3 linked regions of the Callithrix jacchus genome follow. The protein of the gene in region 1 purifies or fractionates together with the protein of each later gene. This does not show direct contact. Links are inferred from orthologs where the notes say so. Each region holds a gene or a part of one and is shown on either strand. Other genes may lie near its edges.

Evidence for each region.
Region 2: the proteins of DYRK1A (region 1) and LZTS3 purify together in Homo sapiens (affinity purification with mass spectrometry; 3 studies listed by BioGRID and IntAct, with this or other methods). This does not show direct contact. The link is inferred for Callithrix jacchus from reciprocal best matches to the Homo sapiens genes DYRK1A and LZTS3.
Region 3: the proteins of DYRK1A (region 1) and PPP1R3F purify together in Homo sapiens (affinity purification with mass spectrometry; 3 studies listed by BioGRID and IntAct, with this or other methods). This does not show direct contact. The link is inferred for Callithrix jacchus from reciprocal best matches to the Homo sapiens genes DYRK1A and PPP1R3F.

The regions. Positions count from the first base shown.
Region 1 is NC_133522.1:43,336,361-43,345,946, reverse strand, and holds the start of DYRK1A (dual specificity tyrosine-phosphorylation-regulated kinase 1A), read right to left. Parts: upstream 6,293-9,586; 5' UTR 6,180-6,292; intron 1-6,179. UniProt on the Homo sapiens protein: Dual-specificity kinase which possesses both serine/threonine and tyrosine kinase activities. Exhibits a substrate preference for proline at position P+1 and arginine at position P-3.
Region 2 is NC_133506.1:10,675,355-10,684,840, reverse strand, and holds the end of LZTS3 (leucine zipper putative tumor suppressor 3), read left to right. Parts: intron 1-989; coding exon 990-1,152; exon of another isoform or gene 1,153-1,214; intron 1,215-1,755; coding exon 1,756-2,232; intron 2,233-2,565; coding exon 2,566-3,429; intron 3,430-3,759; coding exon 3,760-4,458; 3' UTR 4,459-6,279; downstream 6,280-9,486. UniProt on the Homo sapiens protein: May be involved in promoting the maturation of dendritic spines, probably via regulating SIPA1L1 levels at the postsynaptic density of synapses.
Region 3 is NC_133524.1:49,820,803-49,830,288, forward strand, and holds the end of PPP1R3F (protein phosphatase 1 regulatory subunit 3F), read left to right. Parts: intron 1-448; coding exon 449-504; intron 505-1,016; coding exon 1,017-1,099; intron 1,100-4,595; coding exon 4,596-5,852; 3' UTR 5,853-6,850; downstream 6,851-9,486.

The sequences.
Region 1 (9,586 bases):
GGAAGACAAGACGCATAGCTCTGGTAGAAGAACCAACTGCCAAGATGCCGCAATGGCTGTGTTATCGAATAATATAGGTAATGATAATATAGAAAAGATTTTTGTGAAAGCTTTTTAAAAATTAAAAAATCAAATCTTGTAACTGGAAATTTTATACACTCAGAAAAATTAGGGGGTTATTTAATGAACAGGGATTATTTAAAACAGAGTTGATGTTGAAAGCCAGTTTCATTCCATGTTAAACCATTTCAGTGGGCCCCCTCCAAAAAATCAATTAAAACAAACTTTTCTAATATGGAGAGATAAAACAAGAAGTCACTAACAAGAACAAAGACACATTTTAAGCTATACTCACTGCATATCAGATATGAGCATGTGCCCCAAAACAAAGTGTGTGTGTATATACACATATGGAATCTGTCAAAACTTAGTTTTAACAGTAATACCATCTTTTAAAAATCACCTTCTAGAAGAGAAGAGACATAGCTCTGGTAGAATAATCAATTGCCAAGACACCAATATGGTTCTCCATTAGCAAAACATATGCCCAGGAGGAACCACACCATTTTAGGTATTATCTCCAAAAAACAATTCTCACCCATTTTAGTACTCCGGAAGTAGGATTTCAAAGCAAACGCTTAACTTTTTAAATACCTAGCTGGCTTCTACAGCGCAATACTTCCACATCATTTTGTTTTCATATACAGAAAAAAAAAATCCAACTAAGCCTGCTTGCAGCCCATAGATTAAGAAATAAGATCTGTCTTCAATTACCCAATATGAACCTTCAATTATTGTCACATGAAGTCTACATTTCACTTTCAAACGCCCCTATGGTAAACATTACAACTCTAGCTTAACATTGTAGCATTGACATAAAGCAAGATTTCAAAAGCTTTCTTCATTTGGGAGCAACTGAGAAATTTTAGGTAATTTAATATAATTTGCTGATTTTTCCAAGTAAACACAAATTTTAACTCCCCAAACTTTTTACTCCAAAGTTGAGCTAGCTTTGGATTATAAATTACCACAACTTCTCCAGCCATCAGAAAATTGTCCAACAGTCAAGATAACATCTGCTAAAAAGTCTCTTAAAAGGCAAAACCACTACTACATATACACATAAGGTGCTATTCTACTAGTCACACAACTCACTTTCACAGGACAAACTGTTAGTATCAAGTTTCAGGAAACACATACAATAGTTTCAAGTAGGCCAGGCGCGGTGGCTCAAGCCTGTAATCCCAGCACTTTGGGAGGCCGAGGCGGGTGGATCACGAGGTCAAGAGATGGAGACCATCCTGGTCAACTTGGTGAAACCCCGTCTCTACTAAAAACATAAAAACTTAGCTGGGCACGGTGTAATCCCAGCTACTCGAAAGGCTGAGGCAGGAGAATTGCCTGAACCCTGGAGACGGAGGTTGCGGTGAGCCGAGATCACGCCATTGCACTCCAGCCCAGGTAACAAGAGCGAAACTCCGTCTCAAAAAAAAAAAAAAGTTTCAAGTAATATCTTTACTCCTAAATCTAAAATAGACACACATAAATGGAGGTAAAATCACCAAAACACTCAACAGAGAGTAAAGCTTCTTAGTTCAGCTTAAATAACTGCTTATGAACACTACGAAATAAGACTAACACAACTTTGGAGATGAAGCACTAAGTTCTTGATAAAGACTTTCTGGAAGTTTTTGGGTTTTGCTGGGTTGAGATAAGCTTCTTCTGGGGGGCAGTGAAACTGTTTCCTATGTATGTATAGGAAACGTGAAAGGCCTCTGAAATACAAGAAAAGCTAAGGCCAAAGCAAAGACAAACTGGCAGACACCTAATCACAAGTACCAAGAAAGTCACAAGTGAAGTCCAATCTTCTACCAGTCTGTGTTTAATGGCATATATAAGGCAATTCCCTTCTCGCCTATAATAGTTAATTCTGTCCACATTTTCTTCTCATAACTAGATACTTGTCAACCATAAACAGGCACACAAAAACACCTCAGGGCAGTCTAAATTTCTAAGCTATTTCTTTAAAAAAAAATGGTTTTCAAGTGAAAACCAAGACTGAATCCAAATTAACACTTTATTTGTATAGTTACAAAACAAAACGCAAGCCAAAGGTTACCCTCTTATGTTTGTAACAAGGTATCCTGAAGTTTCCTCTGGCAGATAAATATTCATAGCACTATAAAAACCCAAGGTAAATTGCTTAAATACATTGTTGCAGTTACCTAGGCCTCTCCACCCCCATATCTTTAAGTCATAAACATTCACTCTCCCTAACAGTAACTCGTAAATAACACTAAGGAGCAAACATCAGACAATATTTTAGAGGGGAAAAAAATTTTTTAACAAATGGTCGTTTTTACTATCCACATTCCCTAACAAGACATTGCACTAACATGGAACGTTTTCGGTTATCGTTAGTGCCTCTAAAAACCTGGACTTACTAGTTTTTAAATCCCTTGTACAAAATAATGTGTTAAGTTTCTAACGGGTCTCACCAAAATATCTTTAAAAGGTTTAAGAGATGATCTTATACTTAGATCTCAAATTCCTAACAATAACGGATCTCACTAGATCACTTAGTCCATTTCCCACCCCTACCAATCATCCCATTCATTCAAGTCTATTCCTTCAAACCCTTTTTCAACACCCACCAGGTAAAAACGAGTGTGCCCTCATGGTGCAAACAGAAGGGAAGGCTCTTCCTCCTATAATAATCTCTGAACGTCTGCCTCTCGAGGTAAAAATAAACTTTTTACACCTAGTCTTACAAGAGAACTGTGTGTAGACATTGACAGGAATCCTTAACTTTCTGGCATGGTTTTAAGTCTAAATAAATTTGGACAGCTACCATAAACACCACTGCTATGCCAGGGAAAATCCTGCACTGGGATACCTCAAGTACATGTAAAGAAAAAAAAACTATAATCAAGTAAGCTTTGTTCATAACAAGTTGCTTTGAAAAAATCTTCTGCAGTTTAAAACCTCAGCACATGAAACTTTAGTTCTAGCCTCACGTTTTTAAAAATCTACTTGAAAACAATAATCTCCTAAAGTAACTCATCAACATATAAGAAATTTAAGAAATATAAGAAATTTAAGAAAACAAAGCTAAAGGCAATTCCACTGAATTACTAAAACACCCCAGAATCAAAGTGTTAATATTCATTAACATTTTGGACACAAAGTATAAAGGGGTCACAGAAGAACCCTTAAGCATTCACAGAATAAAATAACTAAACATAACTTGACACGAAACTTTATGATTCATCAATACTCAGAAAATGACTATCATCAAAATTAAGTGTGAAGTACAAAACACACCAAGGAATAATACTTTTAATTCCTTTCTTTCAAAAATTGACTGCATTGTTTTTTGGGGGAGAGAAAAGGACTGAAAAGTTTCAGTGAGAGGACTCACTACCATTACCTTACTTTTCCATGATAAAAACCGTAGGGGATACAATCTCTAGGTTACAATCCTGAGTCATTACACACGAATCACTTCAAAATTTGCCAGTATTTCTAATAATGAGTTACACCCTAGTGGTTTACAAGTCCAGACTGGCTACAGCTTCCTGGCTCCTGGATTCCCAGCTGTATGACCTTAGACCAGTCAGTGCCCTTCTCTAGGCTTAGTCTCCTCATCTGTAAAATGGGAACAGTTCCTACTGGTTGGGCAAGCTCGTCAATCCACTGAAAACCCTGACAACAGCATCTGGCACTCTTCGTCCCAATCTTCAACTGGGTGTGAAAACAATGTTCTAAGGTGTATTTTCTGACAATTTGGGTGGAATTCAAGAACCAAATGGTAATGGCATTCATGCGCTGCGCCTAGATTACAGGATTCGTGTCACCTAGGGTTGGGCGAAAGGCACAAGCAAAAAGCCGGAGTCACTGACTCACTAATTTTACCATTTTTAACTATTTCAGATTAGGGAGGAGCCTTTCGCCAAGTGCCGAGCTACTCAGCAGCTTTGGTGGCTCCGAAGCGAGAGTGGGTTTGTGCCTATAAATAGACTCGTGAAGTTTTGTGGTGATGCACAGGTATCCATCCTAATTCACCTCTCCTCAGCCACCAACTCCCCCGGCTGCAGGGCAGGTCATCCCTCCTCCACCCCGAGCCGCCGGGGACACTCGCGCTCCCCGCCCAACTTCGGAGGCCAGCGAGTGCCCCTCGCTGCGGCGCGGACCCCCAGGGCCGCCGAGGCAGCGGCTCCCGACCTTCGCCGGCGCCCGGCCCGGCCCGGCCCGGCCCCGCTGTCCTCGCCCACCCAGCAGCCGGCCCCATTTTCTTAACCCGTGCATTGTCCTTGCGAAGCACCCCGGCGGTTCCCACACTGGTGGGGACCGAGAGGAGGGACGAGGGAGGAGCTGGGGGAAGAGGATGAGGAGGAAGAGGAGGAGGAGGAGGAAGACAACCTCCACCCCTTCGCTGGGGCGGCCAGAGAAGGTCTGGCGCTGTCTGCGGCCCCCCAAGCCCCGGCTCCCCGGAGGCCGCGGCCCCCGCTCCCACCCTCCGCAACTTTCCCTCCGCTCTCGCCCGCCGCTCCTCCGGGACCGGGCCTGGGGCTCCCTCCCTCGGCAGCCAGCCCCGGGCCCGCGGCGCCTCCTCCTAAAATGGCAGGTCCCTCCCTCCGCCCGGCCGGCCTCGGCGCGGACCCGGCTGCGGGCCGCCGGAGGAGCCGCGCGCCGGGCCGGGCGGGGCCGCGGCCGGGCCGGACACTCACCGGGACGATGGCGGGGCGCTCGCGCCGCTTCCTCCGGTGAGTCTCAGCCTCGGGCTCCCGCGCCGCGCTCCCGCTCCCGCCGCGGCCTCCGCAGCCAGCGCCGCCCCGGCCGCCTCTCTCCGCCCCCGGCGCTCCGGCTTCTGGCCGCGCCGCAGCCTGCTCAGTCTCTCCTCGGCTCGCGGTTCCAACGGCGCCCGGGGCCGGGGAGGCGACAGCCCCCTCCCCGGCAAATACCGCAGTCCCCGGGCCCCGAGTCCCGGCGGCGGGGCCGCGCGGCCCGGCCCGGCGTGGAGGGCGGCGGCGACGAGGCCGGGCGCCGAACGGCGGCTGCTGCAGGCGGCTTCTTCCCGAAGAGGATTTTGTAAATCTCACAAAATGGCGCGCGCTCCGAACCTGCGCAGCGAGAAGCGCCGGGGCCCGGGCGGCGGCGGCGGCTCCTCCGCCAGGAGAGCCCGAACCGCCCGCCCCCGAGTCCCCGCACAGACAGACAGACACTCGCACACACCCGCACACCCGCGCGCACACTCGCTCTCGCACACGCTCCCTCGCACACACACTCGCACTCACACCGGTCCCGCCCGCTCGCCGGCGGCGGCAGCGGCACCAACAGCAGCAGCAGGAACAGCAGCAGCAGAAGCGGCGGCGGCGGCGCCCGCACCCCCCTCTCGGGGTGTCCGCTCCCTGAGCCCGACCTGGGCCACGATCAGCAGCAGCGACGGCAGCAGTCTCCCCGGATACCCCCGCCGCGATTGCCGCCGCCACCCCCGCCTCACTCCAATGGGGCTTTTTATTATTATTCGGGCGGGAAGCGAAAGGGTTTAAAAAAAAACCAACCAACAAAATGGCGACGGACCGACCCGGTCGCTATAGCAACTGTCAATCAAAACGCAAAACCCCGGCTGACGTGCTGACGTCCTTCTCCCGCCCCCCGGCCCCGAGCCGGCAGGCGGGGCCTGTTGCTCGGGTAACGGCAGATTCCGTTCCCTCCTTTCCGTCTCCCCCTCCGTCCCCAGCCAACCACCCAACCCCCCTCAGGTCACGTGAAGGATAAATTCGGAGCTCGGGCCCGCTACGAGTGTCAGAGGAGGGCGCGTGATTCGCCCGGGGGAGGGGAAAGGAGGAGGACGGCTGGGCCGAGGGAGGGAAGGGGCAGAGGCAGGGGGGCGAGGCGGCGGCCCGGCCTGTGCGCGAGCGCCGGCCGCCTCGCCCCGCCCCGCGTCCGCCGCGCCCGCGCCGACTGCGGCCCGGGGAGCGCGCGCGGCCTCCCGCGCCGCCGCCTCCGCAGCCCCAGCGCTCCGCGCTTCCGCGCCGGCGCCCGCAGCCCCGCCTGTGCCGGTGCAGGGCGGGGGGGACGGGCGGCCCCGGGCGGGGGAGGGGTCGGGAAGCCGCGGCCTTTGGGTGGGGACCCGGGAAGCCCACCCCGCTCGCCAGTGCCTGGAGGGCTCTCACCGCGGTCCGGGCACGGCGCTCGCCTCGCTCCCGGGGGAGCGCGCCGGCCGCGGCTGTCCGCGCGTGGAGCCGGTTCTTCGAAGGGCTCGCGGGTCCCCTCGCCGGAAAAAGCCGGCGGAGGCCGCGGTGGGGGCGGGGAGGAGCCGCCGCCGCCGCGCCCCAGACATCGCAGGAATTCCGGACGTTGCGCCAGCCACGGCGGCCCTGCGGCTGGCACCCGGCTCCGGTCGGACTGCTCGGGTTTTGTGGCGCCGGAGACCAGCGTTGGGAAATTAGGCTGGAGCCATCATGAAAACTTTTTCAGGCTGTGCACGCTCGCTGGTGTCTGCCCATCTGCTTCCAACCCCTCCCCACCTTTCTGGGTGCAGCCTGCCTGCTCCATCGGAATGCCCCTTAGATGAATCCCCTTGTGCTGTTACTGTGTCCTTGTCCACTTCCGTGGTTTTCTTTTCCATACACCTTCTCGGTTTCGAGTCTTAATTTGCCCGCTTGTCCTTAACCATCAAAACTCTTCATATCCTAGCTTTCGCTGATTTTTATTCTGTCTACCCCTTCTGCCTGGCTACGTATTGCTGGGTGAGCTCCCGAGGCTTGAAAACCCAAGTATGCTGTGCTGGCTGCTATGTAATCAGTAGAGAGCCACCAGCTAAAAATTGTGTTTTGTAATGTAATGGTATTTAATAAATGTATAACTAAAAACTATGTGTGTGTGTATATACTATTTTACAGCAGTCACTAATCGATTGATTTCTAAGCTTGATTTTGCCACCTTGTGATAGTGTTCATAGCCCATTTTTTATAAACTTCACAAATATGGTAGCAACAGATAAAATCTTATGAACAATATTAAGTGTAAAAAACTCAGTAGATGCCACTGTCTATGCTACATGACTCAAAGACACCCCCTTTAAATGACTTCCAACAAAATGTCCTTGCTACGGTTACTAGGACATTGATATACTAAGGTAACCATTCGGATCAGCACAGACTTGGAAAGAAGCCTGACTAAATCAAAAATAAATTGGTCAAAAAGTAATCAGGCAAATAGCTTGCTTCGGTCTGATCTCCATGATACCAAAACGCTGCAGTCACTGGCAAAAGTTCTTTCGGATTATTGTTTCAAAATTGTCCTGCTAATGTGATTAAAGTCCACGGTCAACTTAATTGTTCTGAAGAAAGAGGAAGTGGCCCAGAGCGCCCCTTATTCAGAGGAGAGGTCGCTACCTGGTTCCTCCCAAGCTCAAACTTCCACCTATACAACTAACTCCTTCCTCTCTGCTGGTGGGTCTCTCCTTCCTGTCCCCCACCCCATTCACCAACGTTTCGCTTCTAACGCAGCACGTATTTGCAACCTTTAATACTAAGTTAAATTTGAGTCGAATTTTTATCACCGGTCATGGAAGTAACTTGTATGATAGTGTCTCAAGATATATGTCCTTGTCTTCAGTTCAGATCAACCTAGAAGATTATCGGAGTGAGGCAGAATTGAGATTATAAACGTGTGGGAATAGAAGTCATTGCTGGTCATCATATCTAGAAGGCTGCACCCTTCCCCTCCCTCCCCCCCCCACCCCCCGGCTCCCAGTATGGCACACATTGGTCAACGAATGTCATATTCAGGTTGGAATGCTGTAAAATGGTTTTATACAGGCTTCACCTAAAAGTAACCTGTAAATTACATCTGGCTCCAAACAAGTGATCACATGTAGGCAGGAAGGACTCCGGTACAGATGCCAACTGACGTGGTTCACAGATGAAATCCTTGTCGTCTAAGAATCTCTCCATTAGAGTAGCTTACAGATGTATTTATTCATAGACTGTTCACCTTGAAAAGCAAAGGCCCTCTGCTCACAGGTAGTGACAGCCTCCACTTATCCAGCGCGTTCTAGAGTATCTCTCATCTTCACAGCAACATGGCATCCCCATTATGTGGATGAGAAAACAAGTCCTGAAGAATAACATGACTTTCTCAAGGCAGTTACTGCTCACCAGTAAGTGGTGAAGCCAGGATTCAAACTCGGGTATGATTGCAAAGCCCGTGTTCTTTCCACCACACCAAGATGATTCAAGATTATGTGGTGGTAGAGTCTCTACAGAGATCATCGAGTTGGGTCTCTAGAGTGAACCCTAATCCAAAATGACTGCTGTTCTTATAAAAAGCAGTTTGTTTGGACCAAGACAAACATGTACATAGAGAAAACCATGTGAAGACACCAGGGAAAGGTGGCCTTCTGCAAACCAAGGCGCACCCAAGGCCACCAGAAGCTGGCAAAGAAGCATGGAACAGGTTCTGTCTCACAGCCATCAGAGGGAACAAACCCTGCTGACACTTTGATTTTGGATTTCTGACCTCCAGAACTACACTTCTGTTGTTTAAGCCACCAAGTTGGTGGTACTTTGTAGTGGCACTGAAGGAAACGAACACACAGATGCCAAGATGGTGGTTTCTTCTGGTTGGCGTCACATCCGTTAGTGGCCACTCTTGGTGATGCACTATTCTAAGACTAAAAGTCCAGTAGTTGTAATCTCACTGAGAGTTATAACCCAAATAAATATTCCAACGACAAACGCACAAATTAACCAGTATTCTTATCGCTGCCCCTGACATCAAGTGAGAAGGTGAACAATTTGCAGTTCGTCCCTGGACAGTGGCGTGGCCTGGCATGTGACACCCCTGTGTTCTTACAGACTTCTGGGTAAAGGTCTTCACTTTACCCAGGTGGGGTTTGTCTCCCCACCTTGTACAAGCTTTATTGTTTGTTTGTATTTTAAGACAGAGTCTCACTCTTGTCACCCAGGCTGGAGTGCGGGGGCTTGATCTCGGCTCACTGCAACCTCTGCCTCCCAGGATCAAGCAATTCTCCTGCCTCAGCCTCCTGAGTAGCTGGGACTGCAGGTGCCTGCCACCATACCTGGCTAATTTTTGTATTTTTTAGTAGAGACGAAGTTTCACCATGTGGGTCAGGCTGGTCTCAAACTCCTGACCTCAAGTGATCTGCCCACCTCAGCCTCCCAAAGTGCTGCGATTACAGGTGTGAGCCACCTTGCCTGGCCAAGAAGTTAATTCTTAATTCTCTGCACCTGAGGTCCAAAAACAAACTATAACAGTCATGTATGGTCATTACAGACAATTTTACAATGTGGAAAACAATAAAGAGGTAAGGATTACTCATAGATATCACCCAGAAAAAGGAAACATATTGGTATTTTCATGTTAGCATATGTCCTTCCAGACTTTCTTAGGGAGACATGAGCACACTCACCCACATACAACATGGAAGATATGTTTCGTGCCATTTTTACTTCCAATTATACTATGAGCACATTTTAATGTTAATCGACTGAAATTTAGATCATCATTTTAACAGCTACTAGTGTTCCATCAGTTGAATAGGCCGTAATTTAAC
Region 2 (9,486 bases), on another chromosome or scaffold:
ATTCCTGGTGTGGGGGCCAGAAGACTCCTGAAGGACAATAGCTTTGTCAGGTTCCCTTGGTCTGGGGCAAGGACACAGCATTAGAACTGGGCAGCTAGGTAGAAGACAGTCTGTGGGGCCACAGGGTGCCACGTGGACCCCTTAACCTTGAAGGGAAGGAGGGCTCCCTGCCTGGTTTATGGAGGGAGTAGCAGGAAAAGGTCTGAAGGGCATCCCCTCCCATTTCCCACACACTTATTTGAGAGTCTAATCCGAGGCAGACGCTGCCTGGTGCCCCTGCCCGGCTTCATTATGCAGATCTCTGGGGCAGGTGTTCCCAGGTGCAAACCTGAGACAAAGGAACGAGGAAGCAGGGCCTACCTGAGCACAAGTAACCCAAAGCCTGGCTCCCCCTGCGCCTGTGGGCCGGCCTTGGTGGTGCGGGACCCGCACCCACAAGAAGGGCTCAGAGGGCTTCACAGTAAACTGAGCAGGGTCAAGGTCCACAGGGGGCGGGAGAGGGAGTAATCCAGGAAGTCTTCCTGGTGGCAGTGAATTCTTAGCGGGTTTGGCATGCGCCGGATCCTTGGGGGCACTGCAGGGTGCGCGACCCCGCCTCTCCCCCCGCCCACCTGTGAGAAACGCAGGCCCCGAGGGAGACTCCGTCAACGCCAGCAGCTGGCGCCACTGCCTCCTCTGCCCCGGCCTCAGCCAGCCCTGAGACCTCTGCGGAGGACTGATCCCGGGAAGGGGGCCCTCTCTTGTCAGGGCCCTGGTGCGGCCGAGCTGGGAAGACCTCCGGGAGGGCGGTCCTGCCACCTGCTGCTGCCGCTGCCCCCGTCCGTCCGTGGGGGACGGGGCGTACTCTTAGCGGCGCCCACCCGCGACCCAGATGCGCGCCGCCCAACCACCCTCCCCAAGTCCCCCATTTCCTCCAGCGCCCGTCGCCTCGGGGCGCCTGGCACGCAGCAGCACCGCAAGGTAGGTCCTTCATTTCTCCCATTTCGCAGAGGAGAAAACCGCAGTCCAGGATGGCTCAGTCCTCCCCTCCAAAGTCGCGCAGCTGGTTTGGGCCGAGCCCTGACTGCGAGAGTGAGGCACATGGCCCCTGCAGACCGGGCCTCGGAGGGTCCCAGGCTTGAGGATCCGTCGGCCCCTCACCCCCTTGGAAAGGCAAGGAGAGAAGCCTGCGCTGGTAGTGAGCTTCCACTTCTGCCCTGACTGCCACTCCTTAGGTTAGGGGGCTGTGAAGGACCCCCACCCTCAATTTTTGGATAGGGGTATCTTTCTCTCCCTCCCCTAACTTTTGAGGTGGTTCCCTGTTGGATTCAGGCACTGTTCTCCCTTTCCAACCCCATTTCTCCAGCCCATGAGGTTGGGATATTAAGGGCCCAGACCCAGGATAGATAATCCCAAAATTCTGGGGTTACAGCAAAGAGTTGAGAAGAGGACCACTGAGCGTGGGAAGCTCATGGGCATGGTGGGGCTAAGGCAGGAGTTTACGAATGGAATGCAGAGCTGAGCTGAGCTGTGCTGGGGGCTTCGTGCATGGAGCCCTGGGGGTTGGGCTTAATCAGGTGGGCAATAGGCAGCCCCATTTCCAAGTTCCCTCTTTTATCCCAGCCCTGTTCCTTCACCTTGGATGCCTGGGAGCCCTTTTACCCATTGTAGGGAAGGGGACACTGAGGGGCAGAGGGGTGCTGGGTTGACTTGGCTGGGGTGGTGGGAGTAGGAGTAGGATCTGACCTATTTCTACCTTCCCACCTGTGCCCACAGTGCCCTCCTGGCTTAGTCATGGCGAAGCTGGAGACACTGCCTGTGCGAGCTGACCCAGGGCGGGATCCTCTCTTGGCCTTTGCCCCACGGCCCTCTGAGCTTGGACCCCCGGATCCCCGCCTGGCCATGGGCAGCGTGGGCAGTGGGGTGGCCCATGCCCAGGAGTTTGCCATGAAGAGCGTGGGTACCCGTACAGGGGGTGGGGGCAGCCAGGGCAGTTTCCCTGGCCCCCGAGGCAGCAGCAGTGGGGCCAGCAGGGAGAGGCCAGGCCGCTACCCCTCAGAGGACAAGGCTCTCGCCAACTCCCTCTACCTCAATGGCGAGCTGCGGGGCAGTGACCACACCGATGTCTGTGGCAACGTAGTTGGCAGCAGTGGTGGCAGCAGCAGCAGTGGTGGCAGCGACAAAGCCCCACCGCAGTATCGTGAGCCCGGCCACCCACCTAAGCTCCTGGCCACCTCTGGCAAGCTAGACCAGGTCAGTCCCAGGGCCTGAGACCCTCACAGCCTTTTTCTGGGGGTGGGAGGCAACGCAGAGAGGAAGGCAAAGGGGTCCTTCTTGGAGGTTGGGTTGTGGGGGCAGGATGGAGGCTGGGCTGAGGAGTCATGGACTAGGGCCCTGGGGCCAAGTCTGTTGGGTGGATCCAGGACAGAGATCTGGCTTCAGGGAGCCAAGAGGTGGAACCCCACTTGGGGGACCTCAGGATGGAGATCCAGTAGGGGTGGGAGGTGGGGCTGGCCAAGTCTCTGCCAGAGGGAAAAGCCTGGGCCAAGGTCAAGGCCTCATCCTGACACCCTGCCTTTCCTGCAGTGCTCAGAGCCACTAGTCCGGCCATCAGCCTTCAAGCCTGTCGTACCCAAGAATTTCCACTCCATGCAGAACTTGTGCCCCCCGCAGACCAATGGGACTCCTGAGGGACGACAGGGCCCTGGTGGCCTCAAAGGCGGACTGGACAAGTGTCGGACCATGACTCCAGCGGGTGGGAGTGGGAGCGGCCTCTCAGACTCAGGCCGGAACTCCCTCACCAGCCTGCCCACCTACAGCTCCAGCTATAGCCAGCACCTGGCGCCCCTCAGTGCCTCCACCAGCCACATCAACCGCATTGGCACTGCCAGCTATGGTAGTGGCAGTGGTGGCAGCAGTGGTGGGGGGTCGGGCTACCAGGACCTGGGGACCTCTGATAGTGGACGGGCCTCCAGCAAGAGCGGGTCGTCATCATCCATGGGGCGGCCAGGCCACCTGGGCTCTGGGGAGGGTGGAGGTGGAGGCCTGCCATTTGCGGCCTGCTCACCGCCCTCGCCCAGTGCACTCATCCAGGAGCTGGAGGAGCGGCTGTGGGAGAAGGAGCAGGAGGTGGCAGCTCTGCGGCGCAGCCTGGAGCAGAGCGAGGCGGCAGTGGCCCAGGTGCTGGAGGAGCGGCAGAAGGCGTGGGAGCGGGAGCTGGCCGAGCTGCGGCAGGGCTGCAGCGGGAAGCTACAGCAGGTGGCCCGCCGTGCCCAGCGTGCCCAGCAGGGCCTACAGCTGCAGGTGTTGCGGCTGCAGCAGGACAAGAAGCAGCTGCAGGAGGAGGCGGCCCGGCTGATGCGGCAGCGGGAAGAGCTGGAGGACAAGGTGGCCGCCTGCCAGAAGGAGCAGGCCGACTTCCTGCCCCGGATGGAGGAAACTAAGTGGGAGGTGCGGGCTGGAGATCTGGGCCTCCCTCTCTGCCTCCCTTCTGCCCCTCTGGGGAACCCCAGAGCAGTTGCCCCTCACTATCATAACAGGCGATGAAAGGAGCAGGGGGGACAAAAAGCAATTGGGAGTGTCTGTGAGGACCGGAGGCCATCCCCGGGCTGGGTGAGACATGTTCATCCTGAGTCCAGGCAGGGAATGAGGCATTGCTGCTGATGAGGGCTGAGCCTGCTCCGGGAATCTTGGTGTCCCTGGCTCCAGATCTGGTGGCTGGGTTGGGGTGAGCAGAGCTCTGCCTTGACCCGGCTTTTCCTCTCACCTGTTCCTGCCCAGGTGTGCCAGAAGGCTGGCGAGATCTCCCTCCTGAAGCAGCAGCTGAAGGACTCGCAGGCGGATGTGTCGCAGAAATTGAGTGAGATCGTGGGGCTGCGCTCGCAGCTGCGGGAGGGCCGGGCCTCGCTGCGGGAGAAGGAGGAGCAGCTGCTCAGCCTGCGGGACTCCTTCAGCAGCAAGCAGGCCAGCCTGGAGCTGGGCGAGGGAGAGCTGCCTGCCGCCTGCATCAAGCCGGCGCTGACCCCCGTGGACCCGGCTGAGCCACAGGATGCTCTGGCCACCTGCGAAAGCGACGAGGCTAAGATGCGCCGTCAGGCCGGGGTGGCCGCCGCCGCCTCCTTAGTTTCCGTGGACGGGGAGGCGGAGGCCGGCGGGGAGAGTGGGACGCGGGCCCTGCGGCGGGAGGTGGGGCGGCTGCAAGCCGAGCTGGCGGCCGAGCGGCGGGCCCGGGAGCGCCAGGGTGCCAGCTTCGCAGAGGAACGCCGCGTGTGGCTGGAGGAGAAGGAGAAGGTGATCGAATACCAGAAGCAGCTGCAGCTGAGCTACGTAGAGATGTACCAGCGCAACCAGCAGCTGGAGCGCCGGCTGCGGGAGCGTGGGGCCGCAGGGGGTGCGAGCACGCCCACTCCCCAACATGGCGAGGAGAAGAAGGCATGGACCCCCTCCCGCCTCGAGCGCATTGAATCTACAGAAATCTGATCGACCTGGGCACTCGGCCTTATGACAAATGCCCTGTCAAAAGGCCAGAGTCCCCAGTGTCCCCTCCCCTCCACCTCTTTTCCCCGTAGACCCCATATCCCCAGACCAAAGAGGTTCTCTAAGCAGCTGTGACCAGGTTCCTCCCTCCTCACTTGCTCTCCCAGCTCCAGCACTGCCCCTGTGGCATCCCACTCGGACCCTCCTAAAAGAAGGGAATAGGGGGAGGGCAGGGCAAGTGAGGGTGATTCTAGGTGGTGGGGTAGTCATGCTCCCTTTCTTGGCACCCCCTTGATGGAGATAGAGGCAGCAGGCCTGCAGTGATGAGGTGCCCCAGTCCTTCTGGGGTTCTGGGCTGCTACTGTTGGCCCCCCGGTGTCTAGTGATGCTCACTGTGTTCACCTCCTAGGCCAAAGGAGCCTGAAGGGGCCTGCACAGGGTTTGCTGAAACTGACAGACCCTGGGCTCCTGACCTCTCTCCTCCCTGTAGTCCTCTCCTTCCCTGGGTAGATTGGCAGGACAAGTGGGAGCAGATGGCCTGCCTGTGGTTGAGAGGGCTACCTGCCCAGCCCCTCCCCCACCAAGGTCTCTTGGGCTCAGGCCTCAGTGCCTGGCCTGGTCGTGAGTGTGTGTCCCTATGTGTGTGTTGCGGGAGGGGAGGGCTGGGGCTGGAAGTCCAGCACCCAGGGAAGATCTGCCCTCCTGTTCTTGGGAAGGGTTGCCTGACGGCTTCTCGACTCTACCCTCACCCTTCTGGCCAGGATCCCGCAGGGCAACAGCCCCATCTGCTTGACTGACCCACACCCAGGGCCACTGTCCGGCTCTAATACAGCTATTAAGTGCCACCTGCCTCTCAGGCACTCTCCCCCCCCGGTTTCTGAGGTCAGACGAGTGTCTGCGATGTCTTCCCGCGCTATATTCCCCAGCCTCTTTCTGCTTTCATGCTCAGCATATCATCTTCCTAGGCAGCCTCCCCCAGAGTCTCACCTTTTCTTCCAGTAGAAAATTCTGCTTGACCTTTGGTGCACTGCCCACTTCCCAGCTCCACTGGCCCAAGTCTGAGCCGCAGGCCCTTGTTTCAGGGGCAGGGGGAGGGTTAGACGTGATTGCCCTTGAAGAACAAGGCTGACCTGAGAGGTTCCTGGCACCCTGAGGTGGCTCAGCATCTGCCCAGGGTAGGCCTGGCATGAGGGGTTAGGTCAGCCAATGTCAGTTCCTTCTCTTGGGGCCCTCTCAGAGTCCATCTCCCCAAGACAGGAAGGGAAAAGCAAATTTCTAATTCACCAGCAATAAAAATTGGAGGAGGCTTGGCCCTCAGCCCTTATATTTCTCTTTTTTCACTCTCTCTTTCTCCCACCCCCAAGACTGAGTTTGGGGGGGCAGGGTGGAGAGAGCTGGCAACTACTGTGAGCAAGTCCCCCAGCCCCTGACCAGCCTCCTCCCATGACTGGTGACTGTTTAATGAGCTGTGCATCCCCCACAAAAACATGAGTGCCCCTCTGTGTGGCCTCTAACCCTCTGCACAGCCCTTCTAGGTGGTCCTCACCAGTTCTCAGAGCTGGGTGGGAGGCCACCCTGGCAACCACTGCCCATTCCATTTACCCCTCACTGCACCTGCCCTAGAACCTGGGCCTAGGCCACAGGGGCAGGGAGAAGAGAAGGCATTAGTAAGAAAAAAAAATATGAACAGACTCAGCTTTGGGACGTCCAACCACAAAAGAAATTATATACAAATATATATAAATATATATCTCTACCATATGTGATGGAAAGACTTTGTTTTCCTTTCCCAAAGAAATAAAATGGAGAAAGCCTCTTGAGTGGTATTCTTTGGCCTGCTGGTGTCTTTGCAGGTGTGGGAGGTGAGGCCTGGGTAGGGGACAGGGGGCAAAGCTGGAGTAAACAGATTCCCCAGAGGAAGCATGAGACGAGAAGTGCTCACCGGCCCATGCCAGGAGGTTGGCCCAAAGCCCAAGCTCTGCCATGTTGCTCGGGAAGAGTCGTGGTTCAACGTTTTTGCCCAGTGGGTCTTTCTCTTCACCTTAGACTGTTGTCAAAGGGATTTCAAGCTGGTTCTATCTCAGAATCTGGACACTAAGCTGAGGAACCAGAAACCGGGTGACATAGGACAGCCAGATGCAGCCTGCAGTTGCCTAAGCCACCCTATAGCAACTGGCAGATTTGCAGGCCGAACGTATAGACATGAAGACTGAGAACAGGTTTGCAGTTAATGGTGAAGCCCCAAAGGCAAAGGGACCCAAGCGTGCTGCACAGCAGAGAGCTTCCCTTTACAACACTTCTGTCATCCTTTCAAAGCACCACAATCAAGAACACATTCTGCTATAAGTAACATGTAGGACCTCAAAGAATGGTTTATTTTTCCCCAACCTGACAAGAAATTGGGAAGTGGGTGTCATGGTTGTTTGATCATTGGGGATCTAGATTTCCATCCTTCCACTGTCCCATCCTTAGCATATTGTTTCCTCCTTACCACAAGGTGGCTGCCACAGCTCAGTGAAGGCCTTGAGGCTCCCCCACTTTATCACGAAAGTGGCCTGCTTTCCCAGGACCCTTTCCTTTAAGTCCTGTTGGCCAGAACTGAGTCACATGCTCCTCTCACTTCAAGGGAGAATGGGAAATGGAGTATTACAAAGAGAAACAGGATTGTGCCTGGGAACAGACATGGTTCATTCCTTCAGGGTAGGCTCTCTGCTTTCTCTGGGTTCTACTGGCAAGGACAGAGTCATAGCAATGAACAGTGTTTGCCCTGGTCTGGCCTGAGTGATAGAACCCTCCCCAAGCAGTAGTGTCTGTGGTCTGGGGCTCCAGATACTCAAACAGTGCTGTTTCCATAGCTCGGGAGTTGGGATGCCAGGCTTGCAGCTCCTTGCAGGGACATGTTCTCCCTACATTGATTTTGGCTTCCTGAGGGAAGCCAAAATGGTGCCCTGGAGGGAAAATGATTTTGCAGCTCGCCCTCACAACCCTTAGGATGAGTGGACTGGTAGAGCCAAGGCATTGACAAGATATGAAAACCCTGAATAGCAGATCTCAAGTGCTCTCAGGAATGGCAGCCTTGGGCCAGGCCTTTCTGATAGGTAGAGGTTTAGTAGAGTCTTTTTCTTGTCTAGGTACCCACACACAGGTGTCAGTATATGTACCCAGTAGGACCCAGCCTTCCTTTTTTGTTTTTGAGGCGGAGTTTCGCTCTTATTGCCCAGACTGGAGTGCAATGGCAGGATCTTGGCTCACCGCAACCTCTGCCTCCCGGGTTCAAGCAATTCTCCTGCCTCAGCCTCCCAAGTAGCTGGGATTATAGGCATGCAGCACCATGCCCAGCTAATTTTGTATTTTTAGTAGATACAGGGTTTCTCCATGTTTGTCAGGCTGGTCAGGAACTCCCGACCTCAGGTGATCCGCCCGCCTCGGCCCCCCAAAGAGCTGGGATTACAGGTGTGAGCCACCGCACCCAGCTACCTAGCCCTCCTTCTTAGGGAGGTGGAGGATTGCCCTGGCTCATGCTCCATAGCTCTGGCCTCCCTAAGTTCCAGCTCAACATCCATTTCTCTTAGCAGGGTCATCTATCCATCATGTCACTAGCTCTTTTCCTGAGAGCACTTTACAGATACATCTCTATTATAAATGCATATTTTTTTTAAAGATGAAGTCTCACTGTCACCCGGGGTGAAGTGCAGTGGTGCAATCTCAGCTCACTGCAATCTCCACCTCCTGTCAAGTGATTCTCCTGCCTCAGCCTCCTGAGTAGCTGGGGTTACAGGTGCCTGCCACCACACCCAGCTAATTTTTTTGGTATTTTTAGTAGAGACGAGGTTTCACCACATTGGCCAGGCTGGTCTGGAACACCTGGGATTACAGGTATGAGCCACCTCGCCTGGCCAATGCATTGCTAAAATTAGCCAGGTGTCATGGTGCACTCATGATTGCACCATTACACTCCAAACTGGGCAATGGAGCAAGACTCCGTCTCAAAATAAATGAATAAATAAAAATAAATACAGGGATTGTTTTTCTCACTGTACAGGCTTCGAGAATTTATGTGAGCTGGGTGCAGTGGCTTATACCTGTAATCCAAGCACTTTGGGAGGCTGAGGCAGGAATATTGCTGTGTCTAAGCTACTTTTTTTTTGAAGATGGAGTCTTGCTCTGTTGCCCAGGCTGGAGTGCAGTGGCACGATCTGGGCTCACTGCAACCTCCACCTCCCGGGATCAAGTGATTCTCCTGCCTCGACTTCCTGAAGAGCTGGATTATAGGCGTGCGCCACCATCCCTGGCCAGGCTAGTCTCGAAATCCCGACCTCAGGTGATCCGCCCACCTTGGTCTCCCAAGTGCTGGGATTACAGGTGCAAGCCACCGCGCCGGCTCTAAGCTACAGAACGACTTCCAGAGTGATGCATCCAGGAAGGTGTTTTCCCTCTGCAGGTCCTAGACTTTCCCAGACTCCTGAACAACGTCCTCCAGTGGAAAATGTCCTTGGAAAACGCTGACAGAGTCTTTTGAGCCTCAGCCGCACCCGTCACTTGCGCCGCAGGCGGAAGTAGCGGACAGTTGGCCGGAAGTGAGGCTGTGAGGCTCGAGTTGCTGTAGGAGCGTTCGTGTCGCCGCAACTCGCGGGGTCCCGGGTTTGTTGTTGCGGCGCCCCCTTCAAGAGGATCAGGTGAGTGGCGGCGGCCGGGCAAGAGGTCGCGGCGGCCGCCTCCTGTGCTCACGACTGGCCTGGGCCTTGACCTGTGTGCCTCTTGCCCTGCCGGCCGGCCCAGGGCTGGCGCGCACCGAGGCCTTGTTTAGCGCTTCTTGGCCGGGGTTGCGAGTACCTCCCGCAGGCCTGGCTGTGGTGAGAACTTCAGTGATTCTCGCCGCTCCCGACTTTTGTGACCTTTGGCAAGGGGCTTATGTAGCCCTTGATTTTTCCTCTGTGAAATGGAGATCGTAACAGTGCTTGTCTCACGGTGCTGTCATGAGAATGTAGTGAGATATTCTGCCGTGCCTCTCATCACACTTTAACGTGCCTG
Region 3 (9,486 bases), on another chromosome or scaffold:
TTTGCGACCTCTAAATGAAAGAACTTAGCTGCTCAGTAGGAAGGAAATGGTATGATACAAGTATTAAGCAGCCACTGAAATGTTTGCGAAAGTATATAGTGATGTTTCTTACTGTTAAATGGACAAAGCTAGCTGTGAAATTATGTCTGCAGAATCTAAATAATTTCATAGAATATCTGGAAGATAATTTTCCAAAATGGTAATAGTAGTTGTCTCTGGCTGATGTGTGATTGTTTTTCTTGCTTCTTTATACTTTCCTGTATTTTGTGAATTTTCTGTAATGAGGGTGTAGGACTTCTAGGATGAGGCGATAAAAAAAGGCAGCAGAAGAGAAAACAGCAGCTGTCAGGTGAAGGTGGGCTAGCACGGAGGCTCAGAAGGTACCAGTGGGTGGCAGAAGTGACCACTTAGGGTATTATCTCCATGTACTCTCTCCTCTGCCCCACAGGCCTGCTGAGGAGGAACTGAAGACGAAGAACATGGATGATAACACCCCTGCCATGGGTAAGCAGTTGGCCAGCTTTCGGAGTTTTAGCTTGTATTTACCATGTCTTTCCTCCTGTTTTTCTTTCTATAAAAATGAAAAAGGCTGGGTTCAGTGGCTTATGCCTGTAATCCAGCACTTTGGGAGGCCAAGGCAGGAGGACTGCTTGAGGCCAGGAGTTTGAGACCAGCCTGGGCAACATAGTGAGACCTCATCTCTACAAAAGAAGAAAAAAATAGACAGGCTTACTGGCATGCATTTGTAGTCCCTGCTACTTGGGAGGCTGAGGTGGGAGGATCATTTGAGCCCAGGAGGTTGATGCTGTAGTGAGCCATGATTGTGCCACTGCACCCCAGCCTGGGACACAGCGAGACCCTATTGAAAAAAAAATGAAAGGGCACTCTCTGCCTTATATTGTCATGGAAAGCTTCAGAGCAAAACTGCCAGTTGGCTAGGATAGCAGATTTTCTTAACAAACCCATACCTACTTATATGCCTGTCTTGTCTAATGCTGCTCTTCTCTTCCCTCTAGCAGAGCACCCTGATGTTGAGGAGTCAGTGGGTCCCCTGGTGGCCCCCACCCCTCTCCGTCCATGGCCCCAGATGACACTTCAGGTAAGTGGGTGCTTGCAGCCTTGGAGCGGACAGCCCAATAGGAGGCTCATAGTGTGACTATTGCTGGGCTGGGTGGTGGGGTCCACTAGCTGTGGGTCCTCCCTGGGTTGGAGGGAGGGCACAAAACTCAGAACCTGATGGGGGAGGGGGAGAATGTAGTTACTCACCTGGGCTTGTAGAAATGTCATTTGTTAATTTAGCAAATATTTATGGAGTGCTTGCTCTGTGCTAATCATTGTTACAGACATGGAAAAATTCTCTTCAAGGGGGCTTATGTGTTAGTAGGGTGAGTCGTGATAAAATAATAGTTAGAATGTGTGGCACTTTAGGTGATGATAAGTGCTAAGGAAAAATATAAAGGGATAGGGGGTGGGTGAGACTGTGTGTGTGTGTGTGTGTGTTGTGGGGGGTTGGAACTTTAGATTGGGTGGTCTGGGAAGGCTTTAGTGATCTGAGCAAAGATCTGAGGAAGGTGAGAGAGTGAGCCATGTGGATAATGTGGATAACTAAGGGAAGAGCATCCCAGGTGAGTGTGAAGTTCTTGAGGTGAGGCCATGACTGGCGTGTGTGAAGGACAGTGTAGAAGCCAGTGTGGCGGGGGCAGAACAGGGAAGGGGGAGAGTGGTATGGGGTGAGGGCAGAGAGGTGGCTGAGGACAGATCAGGCGGCGCCTCATAGGCCATGGTAAGGACTTTGACTTTGACTCCAAGTGAGGGGGAGCCGCAAGAGTGTTGTAGGCAGAGGAGGGACTTGATCTGATTTAGGATTTAACAGGCTCCCTCTGGCTGCTGCATGGAAAATAGACTGTGGAGGGTGGAAACAGGCAAGCAGTGAGGGGGAGGCCACTGCAGGGTCCAGGCAAGCGTGATGGTAGGTAGGGGAGGTGGAGACATTTTGGAGGGGTGTGTGTGTGTGTGTGTGTGTGTGTGTGTGTGAACTTTTTAATTATAAAAGTTTTCAAATGTATATAAAAGTAAAATACTATAATGAACCTACATATACTATCCCCCAGCTTTAGTGAATATCAAAACTTACTTAAAATTCTTATTTTATCTATACCCCGTCTCCTCCCATTCCCTCTGGAATTATTTTGGAAAACACCCAGACATCATCCCATCCATAAATACTTCTGTTTTTATCTCAGATAATTTTTTTTTTTTTCTTTTTGAGACAGAGTCTTTCCCTGTCACTCAGGCTGGAGTGCAGTGGCGCGATCTCGGCTCACTGCAACCTCTGCCTCCTGGGTTCAAGTGAGCACATCTGGCTAATTTTTGTATTTTTAGTAGAGATAGGATCTGCCGCTTTGGCCTCCCAAAGTGCTGGGATTACAGGTGTGAGCCATCAAGCCCGGCCACAAAATTAAGAATTCTTAAAAATCCCCACAATACTATCATCACACCTCAGAAAATAAATGGTAATTCCTTAGTGTCATCAAGTATTTGGTTAGTGTTCAGGTTTCCTTCTCTCATAAATGTTTTAGGATCCAAACAAGGTTGACACGTTGGATTTGATTGATATGTCTCTTTAGATTTTTAAAATCTCCCCCGCTTTCTTTATTTGCAATTTGTTGGTTAAAGAAACTTTGCTTGTCCTGTAGAATTTTTCAGTCTGGGTCTGGCTGATTACATCTAGGTGGAAATATGTTTCTTACTCCATTTTTATTAATGTATTAATTCTATTAATGTAATCTTATTTAATTTATCAAATTATTAATGTTATTAAATGAATATTTAATCTTTTAACTAGAATTAACTCTATTTAGTTCTATTATTCCCACTTCCTTTATTAGCTAGAATTTGTCTCTAAAGAAAAACTTTCCCATATCAGCTATTTGGCTATCTTGAGATACAGTTTTTACAGAAACATCAGTGTAAATATTTAATTTTTTCCATTTTATTTATCAGTTTTCAGAGGAAGTACTACTCCAAAGGTGACCAGTGAACGGATTTTTGGTTTTGTGTCATTATAAATTCTATGAATTCTAAACATAGTTGATGAGTTTTAGTCCATTGCACTTATTTGTTTGTTTTTTTGATGCTTAAATTAAACTATCCCTGGCTAGTAGGAGCTTATTGAGATGGGTTTCTCTGTCCTTTTGACAATATGTTCTAGGCTCATCCTGTACTCTTCCTGTTCCCAGCCTGGAAACAGCCATTTCTTTATTTCTTTTTTGTTTGTTTGAGACAGAGTCTTGCTCTGTTGGCCAGGCTGGAATGCAGTGTTGTGATCTTGGTTCACTGCAACCTCTGCCTCCGGGGTTCAAGCTATTCTCCTGTCTCAGTCTCTTAAGTAGCTGGGGTTACAGGCACATGCCACCACACTTGTCTGATTTTGTATTTTTAGTAGAGATAGGGTTTTGCCATGTTGGCTAGGCTGGTCTTGAACTCCTTATCTGCCTGGCGATTCACCCGCCTCAGCCTTTCAGAGTGCTGGGATTTCGGGAGTGAGCCACAGTGCTTGGCCAGAAACAGTCATTTCTCTAAGGAGCACTGTTTCCTTTCAGTAGAGAGTGGCATTCAGAGGCCAAGGTTTGAGGGCTTGGCATGCTTGCTGCTACTAGATTGGTCATTGTTTCTAGGCCCTTTCAAAAGATGGAGCTAGGAAATAATTTTTTTTAAAAGAAAAGATGATGCATCATGGATTCATAGGTAATCCTGGCTATGTTTTGGGTGTTTTTCTGCATTTTATTTTTACTTTTAAAATTTTTTTTATTTATAATTTTTGAGGGGACATAGTAGTTATATATATTTATGGAGATGTTTTGATATAGGCATGCAGTGCATAATAATCACATCATGGAGAATGAGGTACGCATCTCCTCAAGCATTTACCCTTTGTGTTACAAACAACCCACTTATACTCCTTTTTTATTGAGACAGTCTCTCTCTGTCACTCAGGGTGGAGTGCAGTGGCACAGTCTCAGGTCACTGCAACCTCTGCCTCCTGGGTTCAAGTGATTCTCCTGCCTCAGCCTCCTGAGTAGCTGGGATTACAGATGTATACCACTTTGCCCAGCTAATTTTTGTATTTTTGGTAGAGACGGGGTTTCACCATGTTGACCAGGCTAGTCTCAATCCTGGCCTCATGTGATCCAACCACCTTGGCCTCCCAAAGTGCTTGGATTAAAGGTGTGAGCCACCGCGCCTGGCCACTTATACTTTCAGTTATTTTAACTGGCTCTATTTTGAAGGTAAACCAGCAGTATTTAGTGATGATCATTCACCAGATATTCACACCCACCAAATTCCTCAGCTTTATAATCTGCAAGAAGCACCGTTTCACTGCATCCAATTGTGTTATTTTACCATAAATGAAAGAGTCTTTGGAGTCTAGATAGTGATGGAGGGCGCTTTAGGGCATTTTTATGTAGAAACCCCTGCGGGGCTAGCTGTGGGCTGTCATACTTCTTACTGTCTCTGCTTGTTCCATCGCCTCCTTTATTTCATTCCCTTGCTTTTTCTCCCCCCCATCTCCCCCACCCTGGCCATGGCTCCAGGTTTCTGACGTTCCGATGACTGGCAACCCTCCGGAAGAAGGTGACATCCCCAGAAGCAGTCCACCTGTGGCTTTTACAGAGGTCCTCCAGGCACCGGCCATCAGGATTCCCCCCTCCTCCCCTCTCTGTGGCCTGGGTGGCTCCCCCAGAGACCAGGCCTCAGGGCCCGATTCGAGCGAAGGGGCCACTGGGCCTTTCCTGGAGCCCAGCCAGCAGCAGGCAGAGGCCACGTGGGGAGTATTGAGCGAGAATGGAGGGGGGCTGGAGGCTGTGAGTGGGTCGGAGGAGCTGCTTGGTGAGGACACAATCGACCAGGAGCTGGAGCAGCTCTACCTGTCTCACCTGAGCCGCCTACGGGCTGCTGTGGCTGCAGGTGGGGTAGAGGGTGTTGGGGAGGGCTCCACAGATGGGGGGATGTCCCCCAGCCATCCCCTGGGCATACTGACAGACCGTGACCTGATCTTGAAGTGGCCCAGCCCTGAGCGGGCCCTGAACAGCGCCCTGGCTGAGGAGATCACGCTGCACTATGCCCGGCTGGGGCGTGGCGTGGAGCTCATCAAGGACACCGAAGACCCTGATGATGAGGGGGAGGGTGAAGAGGGGCTCTCTGTCACACCCTCCAGCCCAGAAGGGGACAGCCCCAAGGAATCGCCTCCGGAAATCCTCTCCGGGGCCCGTTCTGTGGTAGCCACTATGGGAGATGTGTGGCTCCCATGGGTAGAGGGCTCGGGATGTGACAGCCCTGTGGTTCTGAGTACAGAGTGTCAGTTCACTGGGGATCCTGAGAAAGGGATGGGTAAGGACAACAGCTCTTTGCACATGAATAGGGTGATAGCTGGGGTGACTGAGTCCCTGGGGGAGTCCGGGACAGAAGCCCAGATGGAGGTAACCAGTGAGTGGGCAGGAAGCTTGGATCCCATATCTGGCAAGGAGCCAGCTGCTCCCATCCTTTTGCAGGGGCAAAATCCCACCCTCCTTGGTCCCTTTGAGGCTGAAGTCTGTCTCTCTAGCATGGCCAGGCCTCATGTGAGCTCCCAGGATGAAAAGGATGCAGACCTAAGCCTTGAACCCCCAAAGAGTTCTCCTGCCATAGCAGCCCCTGCAGAATGTGTGTGTGTACTGCCGCCTCAGCTCCGGGGACCCTTGACCCAGACTCTGGGGGTCCTGGCTGGGCTAGTGGTGGTCCCTGTGGCTCTTAACAGTGGTGTGTCCCTCCTGGTGCTTGCGCTGTGCCTCTCTCTGGCTTGGTTCTCGTAGGCTCTGCTTGTGGAATCAGCAGAGGCTTGAGATGGGATACATGGCCTATGCAGCAAGGGGACCTGGGTCCTTTACTTCTGAGAATGCTCAACTGAAAGAGAGGCCTTCCCATCCCCAAGCTCTTTAGTCAACACAGGGATCCCTGTGGTGACACCAGTGGAGACGAGGGGATGGGTGGATGGTGTGAGTGAGGGGAACTTTTAGAGTGGAACTGGGCATGTCGTCCCCCTACCCCCCAAGCCTGTATTTATTTTTGTATAATTCTCTGGATGAGGGAGAGTGGTCGTGAGCTGGTCTTGGGGCACAATTACCCAGAGATATATTTATTAACAGCCAACCTGTGCAACCTGCTGGAGCTTTATTTTTAATTTAATTTATATAGAGTACTTATTATTATATGCTACAATAGAGCTCTATGAGAAACATGTCTTGTGGTGTAGTGTTCTCCTGTTTGGGCATGAGTGTGCAGGGTGGTCACTTTCTGCGGGAGGATCACAGTAGAGAGTTGGGTGTGGGACATAGTCACCTGCTGCTGCTTCAACACGTCTGTCCTTGAAGATCTGTGTCTGTTCATCTCGTGGTCCTAATCCATATGGTTCTTTGTCTTTTCCATGTTCTGCCTATGGGGCCCTGCAGTATCTATTTGGATGGTGGTGGTAGGAGCCAGGGAGGAAGAGCAGCAGCCACAAGAGGGTTTGGTGTCAGTCACATGGTTGCAGTGGTGGCTGTGGTCTGCTGTGGATGTGGGGACATCAGTTGTGAATCAGCCGCAAGGTTTTGAGGTTACTGAAAAAATAGCCTTTGACACCAGCAGGGGGACCCCTTAGCCCCCGAGATAGGGAAGGCCTCAGAAAGGAAAGAGGAGTTAAGGCACTGTGAAACGTGTAGCACAGTTGCTGTCAGCAGACATCACATTTCTACTAAAAACAGGAAGCCCAGAAACTTTGAAGGAAAGAGATACACTGATTGCATGCGAATAAACTGCTCAACAAAATAAATTTATTTATTTACTTCCCTTTACAGAAAAACTTATTGAAAGAAATATTTACATGAGCTTTCTTCAGTTTTTCTCCAATGCCTTTCTAAAATAGCCCCAATCAGATTTTTTTTACCCAACCATTTCAGCAAAACTGCTGAGGATAATCACATCATTATCGCCATGGTTAAGTCTCAGACCTCATGTTACTTGGACTATTGGCAGCATTTGACATAGTTGTTGATCATCTCTACCTTGCAACCCTTTCTTCACTTGGTTTCCAAGACACCACACTCCCTTCATTTCCCTTCTTCCTCACTGGCCACTGTGCAAAGCTGTCATTTTGTCTTGAAACTGTTTTGTGGGTTCAGTGCAAATCCAATCAGGATTCCAGTAGATTTTTGCGTGTGTATAGATCATGACACATTAATTCTTAAATTTATGTAGAAGTGGCAAGACTAGCCAGGACACTGATACTTATTGTATGGTGTATCAATTCAGATGGTATGATATTTTTGCAAGAATAGACAAATAGACCAATAAAAGACTAGTGATCTCAGAAACAGACCCACTTATGTGTACACACAGAACTGGTGACCAAGGAGTGTTTTGGAACAGTGGGGGAGCGATTGGACTTTCAATAAATAGAACAATTGGTTACCCACATTGAAAAATACGAACTTGGATCCCTCCCTTACAACACAAATAAAAATAATTCTAGGTGGATTTAAAGCCTAAATGTGAAGGGCAAAACCAAAGAGCTTTAGGAATACAGTAAGGCAAGGCCAGGCACCGTGGTTCAATCCTGTTATCTCAGCACTTTGGGAGGCCGAGGTGGGTGGATCACCTGAGGTCAGGAGTTCAAGACCAGCCCTATCTGTACTAAAAATACAAAAATTAGCTGGGCATAGTGGTGGTGGCTGCCTGTAGTCCCAGCTACTCAGAGGCTGAAGCAGGACAATCACTGGAACCCGGGGGGCAGAGGTGCAGTGAGCTGAGATGGCGCCCCGGCCTTCCAGCCTGGGTGACAGAGGGAGACTCCATCTCAAAAAAAAAAGTACAATAAGGCAGTACATTCATATACTCATGGTAGTAAAACTTTTCTTTGTTATGACAAAGAAACAACCATAAATGAAAATTATAAAACATCCAGTGACCTTAAAATTAGGACTGTCCATTGATCAAAAAACACTATAAAGAGAATGAAAACGTTATGTAGTCGGTTGGTATGAATAAAAGCAAAACAAGAGTGTAGAGTGAAAACAAGTGACAAATTGGGAGAAGAAAATGAAATCACATATAACTGATGAAGGGCTCAAACCTGGGATATTAAAAACTACAAATAAAAACTAGCTGTGCCGAAAAGCATCTAAATAGTGTATTCACAGAACGGAATATTCACACAATGAGAATGGAAGATCCATACTGCATGAAAGCATAGGATGAATCACAAAAAGCCAAACAAAAGCTTTTACACTGTGTGACCCATTTATGCAAAGTTCACAGGCAGAACTCATGAATTACCACCTAAGTGGCGACATTGTAAAGAAAAGTGAAGGGCTGATTATCAGAGTCAGGATAGTGTTCACCTCTGGCAGAGGGAGGGATGTGGTTGGGAAGGGGCCTGGAGGACTGCTGGGCTGTCAATAATGGTTCACTGCTTAACCTGGGAGACTGTTTATGGATATGCAATTTATTCATCATCATTAAAACATAGATTTATGGGCTGGGTGCGGTGGCTCACACCTGTAATCCCAACACTTTGGGAGGCCGAGACAGGCAGATCACTTGAGGTCAAGAGTTTGAGACCAGCCTGGCCAACGTTGGGAAACCCCATCTCTACTATAAGGATAAAAATCAGCCTGGCATGGTGATGGGCATCTGTAATCCCAGCTACTTGGGAGGCTGAGGTGGGAGGTGGAGGTTGCAATGAGCTGAGATCACACCACTGCACTCCAGTCTAGGTGACAGAGTGAGACTTTTGTCTCAAAAAACAAAAACAAACCCCCCACCCCCTACAACCCTTCCCATACATTTAGGTTTTATACACTCTTATGCACAGACCTCACAAGTGAGGCAGAGTGCAGTAGGAAGTGGGAGTAGGGTGAGTGTCCACGACTCCTGCGCACAGGCTTGCAGAGAACCCAGCCTCCTGGTGTGGACCACGCAGTGTAGGTGGCCGCCTTGCTGCAGAACCACCCCCGGGCTTCGGGTCTTGCCTTCTGTTTGTGGAGATCGTCTGTGTCTGGTGGGGAATCCTCTATTGTGTGCCCCTGACGCCAACCACAGAGCAGGGACACTGTCTTTCAGGGGATATACACGACCTGCCCATTTTGTCCTCAGATGTTTGCATCTGTCTCCCTGAAGACCTTATTTACACCCATGATAGCCCAGGACACATGGGCTTTGAGGCCTAGCAGGCCTCATAAAAGCTTGAAACACCAAGTCCTGGTGGTGTGACCTTGGGCAAGTCACCTGTCCTTGACCAGCCTCAGTTCCCCATTCATAAAGGGGGCTAATGCCCGCCAAGCAGAGTAGATGCAGGCTTTGGGGAAAACGTGTACTGCCCTCCTCCTCAGCCCACATTGGATGAATCTAGTAGTTGAGGTAGGGTAGCAGGGTGGACAGGAGCAGGGGCTGGAGCAGCACAGGTTGGGA